Linked DNA regions of Caenorhabditis elegans. The protein of the gene in region 1 interacts with the protein of each later gene in a pairwise test. Each region holds a gene or a part of one and is shown in the gene's direction. Other genes may lie near its edges.

Region 1 (5,195 bases):
ATAATCACTAATTTTTGAGAACTTCGTTGTTTGCTCAATTTTCTCAAGAAGACAATCCTGCAAACGTTTCATATTGGATTCAGTTTCCTTATTGCACTTGTATATTTCTGTCGTATTAAAAGTTAATTTATCTGTAATCCTCTTTTCCCTTTCATCAACCAATTGACGGATTCTACTGAAATGATATTTTATCTGCAATTGCCCATATTATTATAAAAATAACTTCGAAAATTGAAAGCCTACCTCCGAAAGCTTTTCAATAAAAAGTTGTCTATTTGACATAGCTCTGAAAAATTGAAAATTTGCAAAATATCTTCTAATCTCTCAACCTACTCTCTAAATTCTTCTAGCTGCACTGTGAATGATTCAGCATTCAATTTCATCTGTTTCAGCCTGCATTCCAGTACATCTCTAATTTTTCCAGCTTCTACACTCATCAAAACTTTTGTATGACCTGTATGAACTCCAAACTCCTCGCAAGTCCTACACATTAGTTTGTCGATTGAGGGACAGTCGTGCTCCTGGAAATTAAGAATTTATTACTGATTTTCACGCAACTCTTTCCAATTTTTCAAATAATCTAAAGCATTTTGAACACAAAATTTTTGAAGTTAAATATGGAGTAGCGCCAGTGGGAAAATTGTTAAAAACCACTTCTCTGGTTCCAAAATTCACAAATATCATAGTTTAAATTTTTTTTAACTTCTAAATTTTTGAAAATTGGAAAACTCTCAGTTTTGCCACGTTTTGCCAAGAAAAAACATTTTAAAAAATTTTTGAAATTTTTCCATAGGAGTCTTTTCTAACATTTTCCCACTAGCGCTAACTTTTGCTCGTCTCAGTTTCTTTTGAAAAAATTCGAAATTTTCATATTCTACCATGTTTTCCTTATTAAAAAGAACATTCAACTATGTGTTTTCAGTTGAAAACAGTAGTGTTTTTTTAAAATTTGCTAGAAGATTCTAGAACATTCCAGAATTTTCTATAATTTTTTCAGAAGGTTCGAGAACATTCCAGAATTTTTTTTGAATTTTTTAGAAGGATCTAGAACATTACAGAGATTTTTTTCTAGAAGTTTCCACGTTTTTTTTAAAATTTTCTTAGATGTTCTAGAACATTCGGGAATTTTTTTTTAATTGCTAGAAGTTTCTAAAACATTCCAGAATTTTCCCAAATTTTCAAGAAGGTTCTAGAACATTCCAGAATTTTTTTGAATTTTCTAGAATGTTCTAAAACATTCCAAAATTTTCTCAAACCTTCCAGAAGGTTCTAGATCATTTCAGAATTTTCTTGAATTTTCCAGAATATTCTAAAACATTTCAGAATTTTCGAAATTTTCATATCCTACCATGTTTTCCTTATCAAAAAGAACATTCAACTATGTGTTTTCAGTTGAAAACAGTAGTGTTACAGATATTAAACTTTAAGAAATACCCAAAAAAAAACCATAAATTTCACTTTCAAAAAATTTATATGAAACTTTCGTTGCTTATCAGCTTAACCTACACTGCACAAAAACTCCGCAATATTATATCGATGCTCTTTGCACTTTGGCGGTGAGTTACTCGAACTAGCTTCCATCATCTCCATAGCCTGCATCAGACCAAAATTTTTCTGCAGGCTCTCCACATTTCCATTTTGGACCTCTGTTGTTTCAGAGCACTTTTTTGGGCACAAAATCACAGAATTCGAGATTAGTTTGACTGCACAGTTCTGACAAATCGAGTGACCACATTCTAAACTTTCGAAAATATTTTACAGAAGTTACAAAAAAAAACTCACTTAAAACTCGCGGAGCACGACTTTCATCTAAATTCGAATAATCTTCATTGCAAACTTCACACTCAAAAATTGCCATTTCATGTCACTAAAGGAGCATTAGATAACAAAATAGATTAGTAAGAGTATTTATATAATTCCTTGTGAAGCACGAAAAAAGTGAGTATTTTCAAGAATTTCGTATGATTCATAATTCATTAAAAAATACGAGTTGTATCCTTTTTGAGTCATAAGCATAAAATAGATAACACATTCAAACTCAATTACAAACTCAATTACATTTCAAACTCAATTATAAGTTGCAAAACCGATACCTACTACACAACTTGAAATGTCATTTGCCAAAGGTACCTATATGTAGACAGGCAGGCGCCTACTCGCCTATGCCTACTTCCTAGGCAAAACCATGCCCACCTACTACAATCAGTTTTTGCGTAACTCTCACGAGCCCGTAAAAATCGTTATCAACTGGAAATTTGTGTCAACAAGGAGTCAGCCACCCGGTCGTTTCTCTAGTTTTTTCCCCGATTCTTCTCGAAATTCTCCAGTCTCCAGAAATGTCAAAAGTTATCGAATGTGAAATTTGCAATCTGGAGTTCTCAAGTGTCAATGAAGATCAGGTTCCAAGAATTTTGAGTGAGTATATTTTTTTCTGTCAAATACGAATACGAAGCTTGAATCTAAAAATAGGTAAATGATTCAGAATGTGGCCACTCGGTTTGTCAGTGCTGTGCGACAAAACTACTAAAAAACTCGGCGATTTCTTGTCCATTCTGCCGGGAAACAACAAGTGTCAGTGCGGTAAAGGATCTGCAAAAGAATTTTGCACTGCTGCAAATAATTGAACACACGAAAACTGAACGTGTAGAAGAGGTACGATATACTAGATAATTTAATTAATGAGAAAGTTTTTCAGGAAGATGAAGCAGATGTACCGCCAAAATGCGCGACCCATAAATATAATATGGCGGAGTTCGTTTGTCTTGTGAGTTTTTATCTGGAAAATTTGAAAAAAATTCTGGAATGTTTTAGAAACTTCTAGCAATTAAAAAAAATTCCCGAATGGTCTAGAACTTTCTGGAAAATTCAAGAAAATTCTGGAATGTACTAGAACTGTCTGGATAATTCGGGAAAATTCTGAAATGTTTTAGAATATTCTGGAAAATTCAAAAAAACTCTGAAATGATCTAGAACCTTCTGGAAGGTTTGAAAAAATTCTGGAATGTTTTAGAACATTCTAGAAAATTTGGGAAAATTCTGGAATGTTTTAGAAACTTCTAGCAATTAAAAAAATTCCCGAATGTTTTAGAAACTTCTAGCAATTAAAAAAAAATTCCCGAATGTTCTAGAACATCTAAGAAAATTCAAAAAAAAACCTGGAAACTTCTAGAAAAAAATCTCCGGAATGTTCTAGATCCTTCTTAAAAATTCCAAAAAAATTCTGGAATGTTCTCGAACCTTCTGAAAAAATTATAAAAAATTCTGGAATGTTCTAGAACCTTCTAGCAAATTTCAAAAAATTCTAGAATGGTCTAGAACCTTCTGTAAATTTTGAGAAAATTCTGGAATGTTTTAGAAACTTCTAGCAATTAAAAAAAATTCCCGAATGGTCTAGAACCTTCTGGAAAATACAAGAAAATTCTGGAATATTCTAGAACCTTCTGGAAAATTCGAGAAAATTCTGGAATGTTCTAGAACCTTCTGGAAAATTTTAGAAAATTCTGGAATGTTCTAGAACCTTCTGGAAAATTCGAGAAAATTCTGTAATGCTCTAGATCATTCTGGAAAATTTTAGAAAATTTTGGAATGTTCTAGAACCTTCTAGCAATTTTCAAAAAAACTCTAGAATGATCTAGAACCTTCTGGGAAATTTAAGAAAAATTCTGGAATCTTCGAGAACCTTCCTTAATTCTCCTTCCAGGACCCCAACTGCTCCTCCGACGAAAAGCTAATGTGCCGAACTTGCGAGGAGTTTGGAGTTCACGCCGGACACTCGAAGGGCCTCCTACAGACGGAAGCTTTGAAATTGAGAACGTTGCTCAAAGATAAGCTTTTAAAGTCCGAAGATCAGATTGTTCAAATTGACAAGAACATTGAAGAGGTTGACAGGTTAGTTTAAAAAGCGGTAGATCACAATTTTAGCTCGCTGAAATTTCAGCGCCCAGCAAACAAATCAAGTAGATGGGAAGGTGTTTCAAGATAAAAAAGATTTGGTTAGTGATTTTTTTTTGAAACGGGGACGAAATACAATTCCAGAACATTTTCAGATATCCGTCTACTATACCTCAATACGAGAGACCTTAGATGCCCAGGAAGCCCTTGCAAATCAAAAACTACGCGAAATTGCAGAATCCAATTCAGCTAGCAATAAATTACTACTAGAAGAATTGTCGGAATCCCTGGAAACCCAGAAATTGAAAAACGAGAAATTAAAGTCGTTTCTGGGAATGAGCAACGCGGATTTGTTAGCTCTAAATTCAGAAATTCAGCTCTGGGATGACTCGGAAAATACAGAAGTTGAGCCTATTCAGTTTGATGTAGCATTAAATTTTCCAGAAGTGAACAGGTTAGCTGTGGGTAAGTGGATTTGGAAGGAAGTTGGTAGATCAATGTCAGGAAGTTTTGTAGATGTGGCAAATGCTTCAATGTCAAGCTCTCTGGAGCCAGATGTAGGTTTTAATGATAATTTAGCATTTGTATTATAGGTACATGAATTTCAGAATATAACCCTGTGGCTTTGAATGTTCCAAACAAGGCAGTTTTTTGGTTTTAAAGTTTTCAATCATTTTTTACTTTGTACAAATACCGATAAACAACCGAAAATTCAACTCTCCAATCCTGATTTTTTTGGCCCTTTTCGGGCAATATAAATTTTTGAAATGTCTAATTTTTTGGTATTTTATTTTTCTGAGTTCTCATATTTTCTAGGATTTATTTTTTATCTCTTTTTTCTCCGCCTAGCCTACATTTAAGCTTAAGTCTAAGCCTAAGCTTCATCCTAAGCCAAAGGCTAAGCCTAAATCAAAGCCTAAGCATAAGCCTAAGCCTAAGTCTCGAAAACTTGAAAATCGGAAAACAAAAATTTACGTTTTTTCGATTTTCCGGAAAATCCAAAAATCGAAAAAAAAAATGATCTAAAAATTAATCATAAAATACGATTTTTATCTAATTTTTTTTCTATTGATAAGAGAAAAAAATTTCGAAAAATCAAAAAAAAAAACGAAAATTTTCGATTTTTCGATTTTTCTAAAATAAGCCCGCTCCCGTACAAACAGTGCTATAGGTGCTCGGCAGGTTTCAGGCAGGCGCCAGGCTCTGAAAACGTTTTATTTTACGAAAAACTATTACGAAATCCGTAGTAACTGACCACATAGAATTAGCAATAGTGTTGAAAATGGTGTATCTAAACTGATATG
Region 2 (5,231 bases), on another chromosome or scaffold:
TTCGTCGTCTTCTCCGCCTGCTCCTCATACTCTTCCTCATTCAACAATCGTCGTCTCGCCGGGAAGAACTTCCTCCAAACGGCTTTCAGCCCAACGAAGTACCACCGAATTCCAGCGAATAAAAATCCGCGGCAAATTTGCTGGATTATCAGAGCTCCGATCGTTCCAGTCGATACCTCAACCATTTGCACCGAGAAATAAATTAGCGCAAGGGCGACGAGCTGAAGGGTCCATTGAGCGATGTCATGGGATCTCGCGTCAGTTGGAGGGCCTCGCTTGTAGCAGACCGCCATTGAGATCAGAAGAACCGTGGCAAAGTATCCGATCACGTATTTTTGATATTCAATCATGATGCTTTGAAGATTTGACCAGGCGAAGTGAAGCATGTAAAGGGAGACTGACCAGCCACCAATGAGGATCGGAACTCCAATTGTTTTCTGAAAATTTGGAGTTTTTTGATGAATTTGCCAATATTTAGCAGAACCTAATTTCCCATACCTTCGGCGCAACACGCCACACAATAAATGCCACCAAGAGCAGTGAAGCGAGCAATCCGAAAGAACATCCACTGGTGTAGTAGAAGACGACATTTCTAACGAGCTTGCTGGCGAGCAAAAATAGCACGATTGCTCCGACGTAGACACCAACACGGAAATAGTTGACTTCTGGAAGAATTTGTTTAACGATTTTTTAAAAATAAATTCAATTTAATACTAACTCCAAATTAAAACCGATATTTCGTATGGTTCAGTTGTGGAGACGCCGACGATTGTGTCATTGAACGGATTTAACTGATGAGATCTGCAAAATTTAGTTTAATTGTTGGATTTTTCAGAATATTTTACAGCTAGAGTTGGGATACCCGAAAATCCGTGACTTTCTGCAAAATCTTCGATGAATTTACTAAAATCCTAGCAGAAACGCAAAAGTTTAATCGAATTTTAATTAAAATTAGACGGAAAATTCGGAATTATTGGCTTTCTTCTAACTTTGGGTCTGCTAAATATTTAGCATACCCAACTTTGGTGTGCTAAATATTTAGCAGACCAAAATTTCCACGTTTCTCTGTTGCACATTTCTATTTATCAGCGAAATCCAACAAATTTTTGCTGATTTATCATAAAATCTGTGTCTTTTTCGCGGTCCAAACCTCAAAAGTGCGGCTTTCCGTAAAATTCCGAAATAACGATTGTCATTATCGTAAAGCTGTTGAACAGTTGTGCAGTTTGTACCCTGAAACAACTCCATTTTATATTTTCGCAAGCATTTCCCGAGAACCTACCTGATAAAACTGATATTGATCCGCATTTGTCAGATTAGTCTGCAAAAAAACATCGGTAAACGCGTATATCGCGTTGTAAGGTAGTGCTTTCTGATAGAAAAAGTCGAGATTGTACGAGTAAAGCTTGGCGCCGACACGAAGGACCTGGTTTAGAGCTGAAAATTATTTTTTTTTTAATTTTGAAACTTTAAAAAAGTCTTACCTGCCGGTTTTTGCTCACAATCCTCGAATTTATAGGCCAAGCTACCCGCGACGAGTAGTGCGAGGGTCAGTAAGCGCATCTGCGCCGAATTTTTGCTGAAAATTCAGAAATATTTGTTGGAAAATTAGAAGATGGGGAGAAATTCAACCGAAATTCAGAGAAAAAACGTGAAAATTCACATGAAAATTCGAAATCTAGGTTTTCGCGCTGCCGGGTCCCGCCACGAAAGTATTCTGTGGACTCCTCGTGGACAACTTTCAGTTATTTTGTTTTGTTATCAATTTTTAGTTAATTTTCGAAAATTTCTGGAATTCGATTCCAAAATCAGAAAAGAATGATTGAAAAATTCGAAGAAAATCGAAAAAATTGTGAAATATCGAAGGAAAGTCGATATTTATGAACTAAACTTCGCCAAAAATTGATTTAAACTCGAAAAATTAACGATTACAATAAAAAAATGTCATAAATTTTAATTTAAATACGTTTTATCAAACCTGAAAAAATAAAATTTAAATTCAAATTTCCTTGCAACGACACTCCGCCGCACGCCTTGTTTAACCGAGCCCCTCTAAATTAAAAGGTTCCCCCTTTGTTTTACACTAAAGTGCTCATTTTTTCGCTTTCAATTGATTTTTTGACAGAAATTTCGTGTATTTTTACGAATTAGTGCTGAAATTTGAAGAAATTTGAAGAAAAAACCGAATTCCAGATCTCAAATGCCCGACAATTTATCGGCAATATTTGGAACAATACTGGATTATGCAGAGGAAGTAGCAGCGGGGACATCTAATGAGAGTACGTGTTTGAAAATCGAGAAATTGCAAGACATTGAGCAGATAAAAGAGATTCTTGGCGGAAGAATAATACAATTTCGGCGAAAATTAAAGGAATTTTGGTCTGCTAAATATTTCGCAGACCCAAATATAACTTTTTTTTTGAAAATACGGTTTTTAGAATTTTAAGTAGATAAATAAGCTAGTTTAAACATTTTTAATCTTAAAAAAATCAAGTTTTTTATGGTTTTTAAGCAAATTTTAGCTACTTTTGAAAAAAAAAGTGGCAATAAACACCAATTTACTGAAATTCCAGACGACGAAAGGCCTCCACGAACAAGTTTAACGAAAAAGCAACAAAAAGCCGTATCAATTCTGCGGAATTTCTCAACAAACGACCAGAAACAAGAGATCTCATTTCAAGAACTATCACAGAACGTTCTCGACGACTGGGACATTTCAAATATCAAATCTTCGTCGGTTCAGCAACTCGTTGAGCTCCTAAATTTGCCACGTGTACAGGGAGTATTATGGGCGGCGCAGGAAATTTCAGCCGGGCGGTTTGCTCCGCAGCTTCCAGACGTTCCGTTCGAAGTTGACGAGGATGATGGGGTCGCTGTGAAAATTGTGAGGATCGACGGTTTTTGTTCGGAAATTCTATTGAAATTTTCAAAATTTTGGAAAAATTGGCTAGTAAAATTGACAATTTTTTCAAATTTCCACTTTTATAAAATTCTATTGGTCTGCTAAAATTGGCTTGGGTCTGCTAAATATTTAGCACACCCAACTTTGGTCTGCTAAATATTTAGCAGACCCAACTTTGGTCTGCTAAATATTTAGCAGACCCAACTTTGGTCTGCTAAATATTTAGCATACCTAACTTGGGTCTGCTAAATATGGGCATTGGTCTGCTAAATATTTAGCATACCTAACTTGGGTCTGCTAAATATTGGCAATGGTCTGCTAAATATTTAGCAGACCCAACTTTGGTCTGCTAAATATTTAGCATACCCAACTTGGGTCTGCTAAATATTTAGCATACCTAACTTGGGTCTGCTAAATATTGGCATTGGTCTGCTAAATATTTAGCATACCCAACTTTGGTCTGCTAAATATTGGTTTGGGTCTGCTAAATATTTAGCATACCCAACTTTGGTCTGCTAAATATTTAACAGACCCAAAAATTTTATATTCCATTTCATTTTTCTAATTTTTTGTTTCAATTTTCCAGGTGCGAATAGTGCGACGTGGCGAACCCCTCGGTGCAACAATAAAATGCGAACGTGGCAAAGTATACGTGGCACGAATAATGGCGAACGGTGTGGCAGACCGTAGTGGATGTATTCAGGAAGGCGATCGAGTATTGGAGGTCAATGGGATTACTGTAGCGGATAAGGAGCCCAGGGAAATCGTGAAGCTGCTGGATAAATGTGATAATGGAATTGTTAGTGATTTTGTTTTAAAAAATTCGAAAAAACAACAATTTCCTAGCAGTTTATCACGAAAATCAGAGAAAATTTGTAAAAAATCACATATTCGTATCGTCTTGTATACCTGAAAATTGCTAAAAAATTCTGTATTTGTTAAAAAACATTGAAGATGGATTTATTATAATTTAAAAAAAAAACCTGAAATATCAGAAAAAATTTGCATTTTCTCAGTAATTTGTAACTTTTAGCCTGAACTAAAAAAGTTTTTAAGAAAATCTATAAAAATACACGTTTTTTCTCAAATTTCCAATATTATTTTTCAGATAACCTTCAAGCTGATCCCTGCAGAAATAAACCAGAAGTTAAAGCAGAAAAAGTCGTCACATCGGTATGCCCGAGCTTTGGTAAGTGGTTTTTTCTAGTTTTTCTCAGAATTTTAGTCCAAAATTCGCAAATTTTTCAATTTCCAAGTAGAAATTCCGTAAAAATAGCCTAGAATTCTTCCTAGTTTTCAGTTCGACTACGATCCATGGCAGGACAAACGTCATCCCTGCCCAGAAGCTGCAATTTCCTTCCGCGGCGGTGATATTCTAGAGATCCTCGACGAAAAGGACCAATATTGGTGGCAAACTCGAAAAATCGGATTCGGAGCACTGGCGAGGCGGAAAGAGAGTCATGATGACGAGAATCGAGATGATTCCAGTGAGAAAATTGCGCTCTGAAATTCCAAAAATAATGATTTTTTCAGAAAAAGTGGGTCTCGTACCGTCGGAATGGCTACAGTGTCAATCGGAAATTCCAGAAAATGGAATAGATACTTCAGATGATTTTCAGTCATTTTTAGAGGTATAATTTTGGAAAAAGGGTTTAAAAGTGACTTATGACTTCAGAAAAATGAGAAAATTTAATTTTAAAAAAATCTAATTCCACGTGGTTTTTATCCAGATAATTGGAATTTTGGAGATCCAGAAAATTCCACTTTTGCACTTTTTTTCAGAATTTTCTTTAAAAAGCGTAGTTTTTTTTTCAATTTAAACGCTATAAAATATTGGCAACACTAAAGTCCAATCGGATCCTTAAAAATTCAAAAAATCGAAAAAAAAAGTGGAATTTGAGTAAAAAATCTATTTTTTGCGAGTTTTTGAACATAAAAATGGATTTTTCGTTAATTTTTAGGTAAAAAATAAGAGAATTTTCAGTGGAAATTTAGCTAAAATGGCGATTTTTAACGTTCACGACTGAAAATTGTGGGGTTTTTAGCGCGAAAAATCGATTTTTTTGGGATTTTTTAGGTTAAAAATGGGAATTTTCAGTGAAATTTAAGTAAAAAATCAATTTTTTGCGAGTTTTTGAACAGAAAAATGGATTTTTCGTTACTTTTTAGGTAAAAAAAAGAGAAATTTTTTCATTTAAAAAAAAACCAATTACACGTGGTTTTTATCCAGATAATTGGAATTTTGGAAATCCAGAAAATTCCACTTTTGCACTTTTTTTCAGAATTTTCTTTAAAAAGTGTAGTTTTTTTTCAATTCAAAGCTATAAAA

Evidence for each region.
Region 2: the proteins of ZK1240.1 (region 1) and magu-1 interact in a two-hybrid assay, tested with the Caenorhabditis elegans proteins (2 studies listed by BioGRID).

Annotation. Positions count from the first base shown.
Region 1 is NC_003280.10:2,327,195-2,332,389, forward strand, and holds ZK1240.1 (RING-type domain-containing protein), read left to right. Parts: upstream 1-2,197; 5' UTR 2,198-2,336; coding exon 2,337-2,415; intron 2,416-2,482; coding exon 2,483-2,652; intron 2,653-2,695; coding exon 2,696-2,764; intron 2,765-3,700; coding exon 3,701-3,888; intron 3,889-3,937; coding exon 3,938-3,992; intron 3,993-4,046; coding exon 4,047-4,356; intron 4,357-4,407; coding exon 4,408-4,448; intron 4,449-4,499; coding exon 4,500-4,520; 3' UTR 4,521-4,666; downstream 4,667-5,195. Other genes in the region: ZK1240.8 (RING-type domain-containing protein), read right to left, coding at 1-192, 244-286, 334-521, 1,507-1,736, 1,783-1,858.
Region 2 is NC_003281.10:468,665-473,895, reverse strand, and holds the start of magu-1 (MAGUK family), read left to right. Parts: upstream 1-2,193; 5' UTR 2,194-2,200; coding exon 2,201-2,279; intron 2,280-2,573; coding exon 2,574-2,884; intron 2,885-3,488; coding exon 3,489-3,701; intron 3,702-4,010; coding exon 4,011-4,091; intron 4,092-4,202; coding exon 4,203-4,389; intron 4,390-4,435; coding exon 4,436-4,533; intron 4,534-5,231. Other genes in the region: nemp-1 (Nuclear envelope integral membrane protein), read right to left, coding at 1-437, 499-665, 719-801, 1,151-1,233, 1,283-1,437, 1,485-1,563.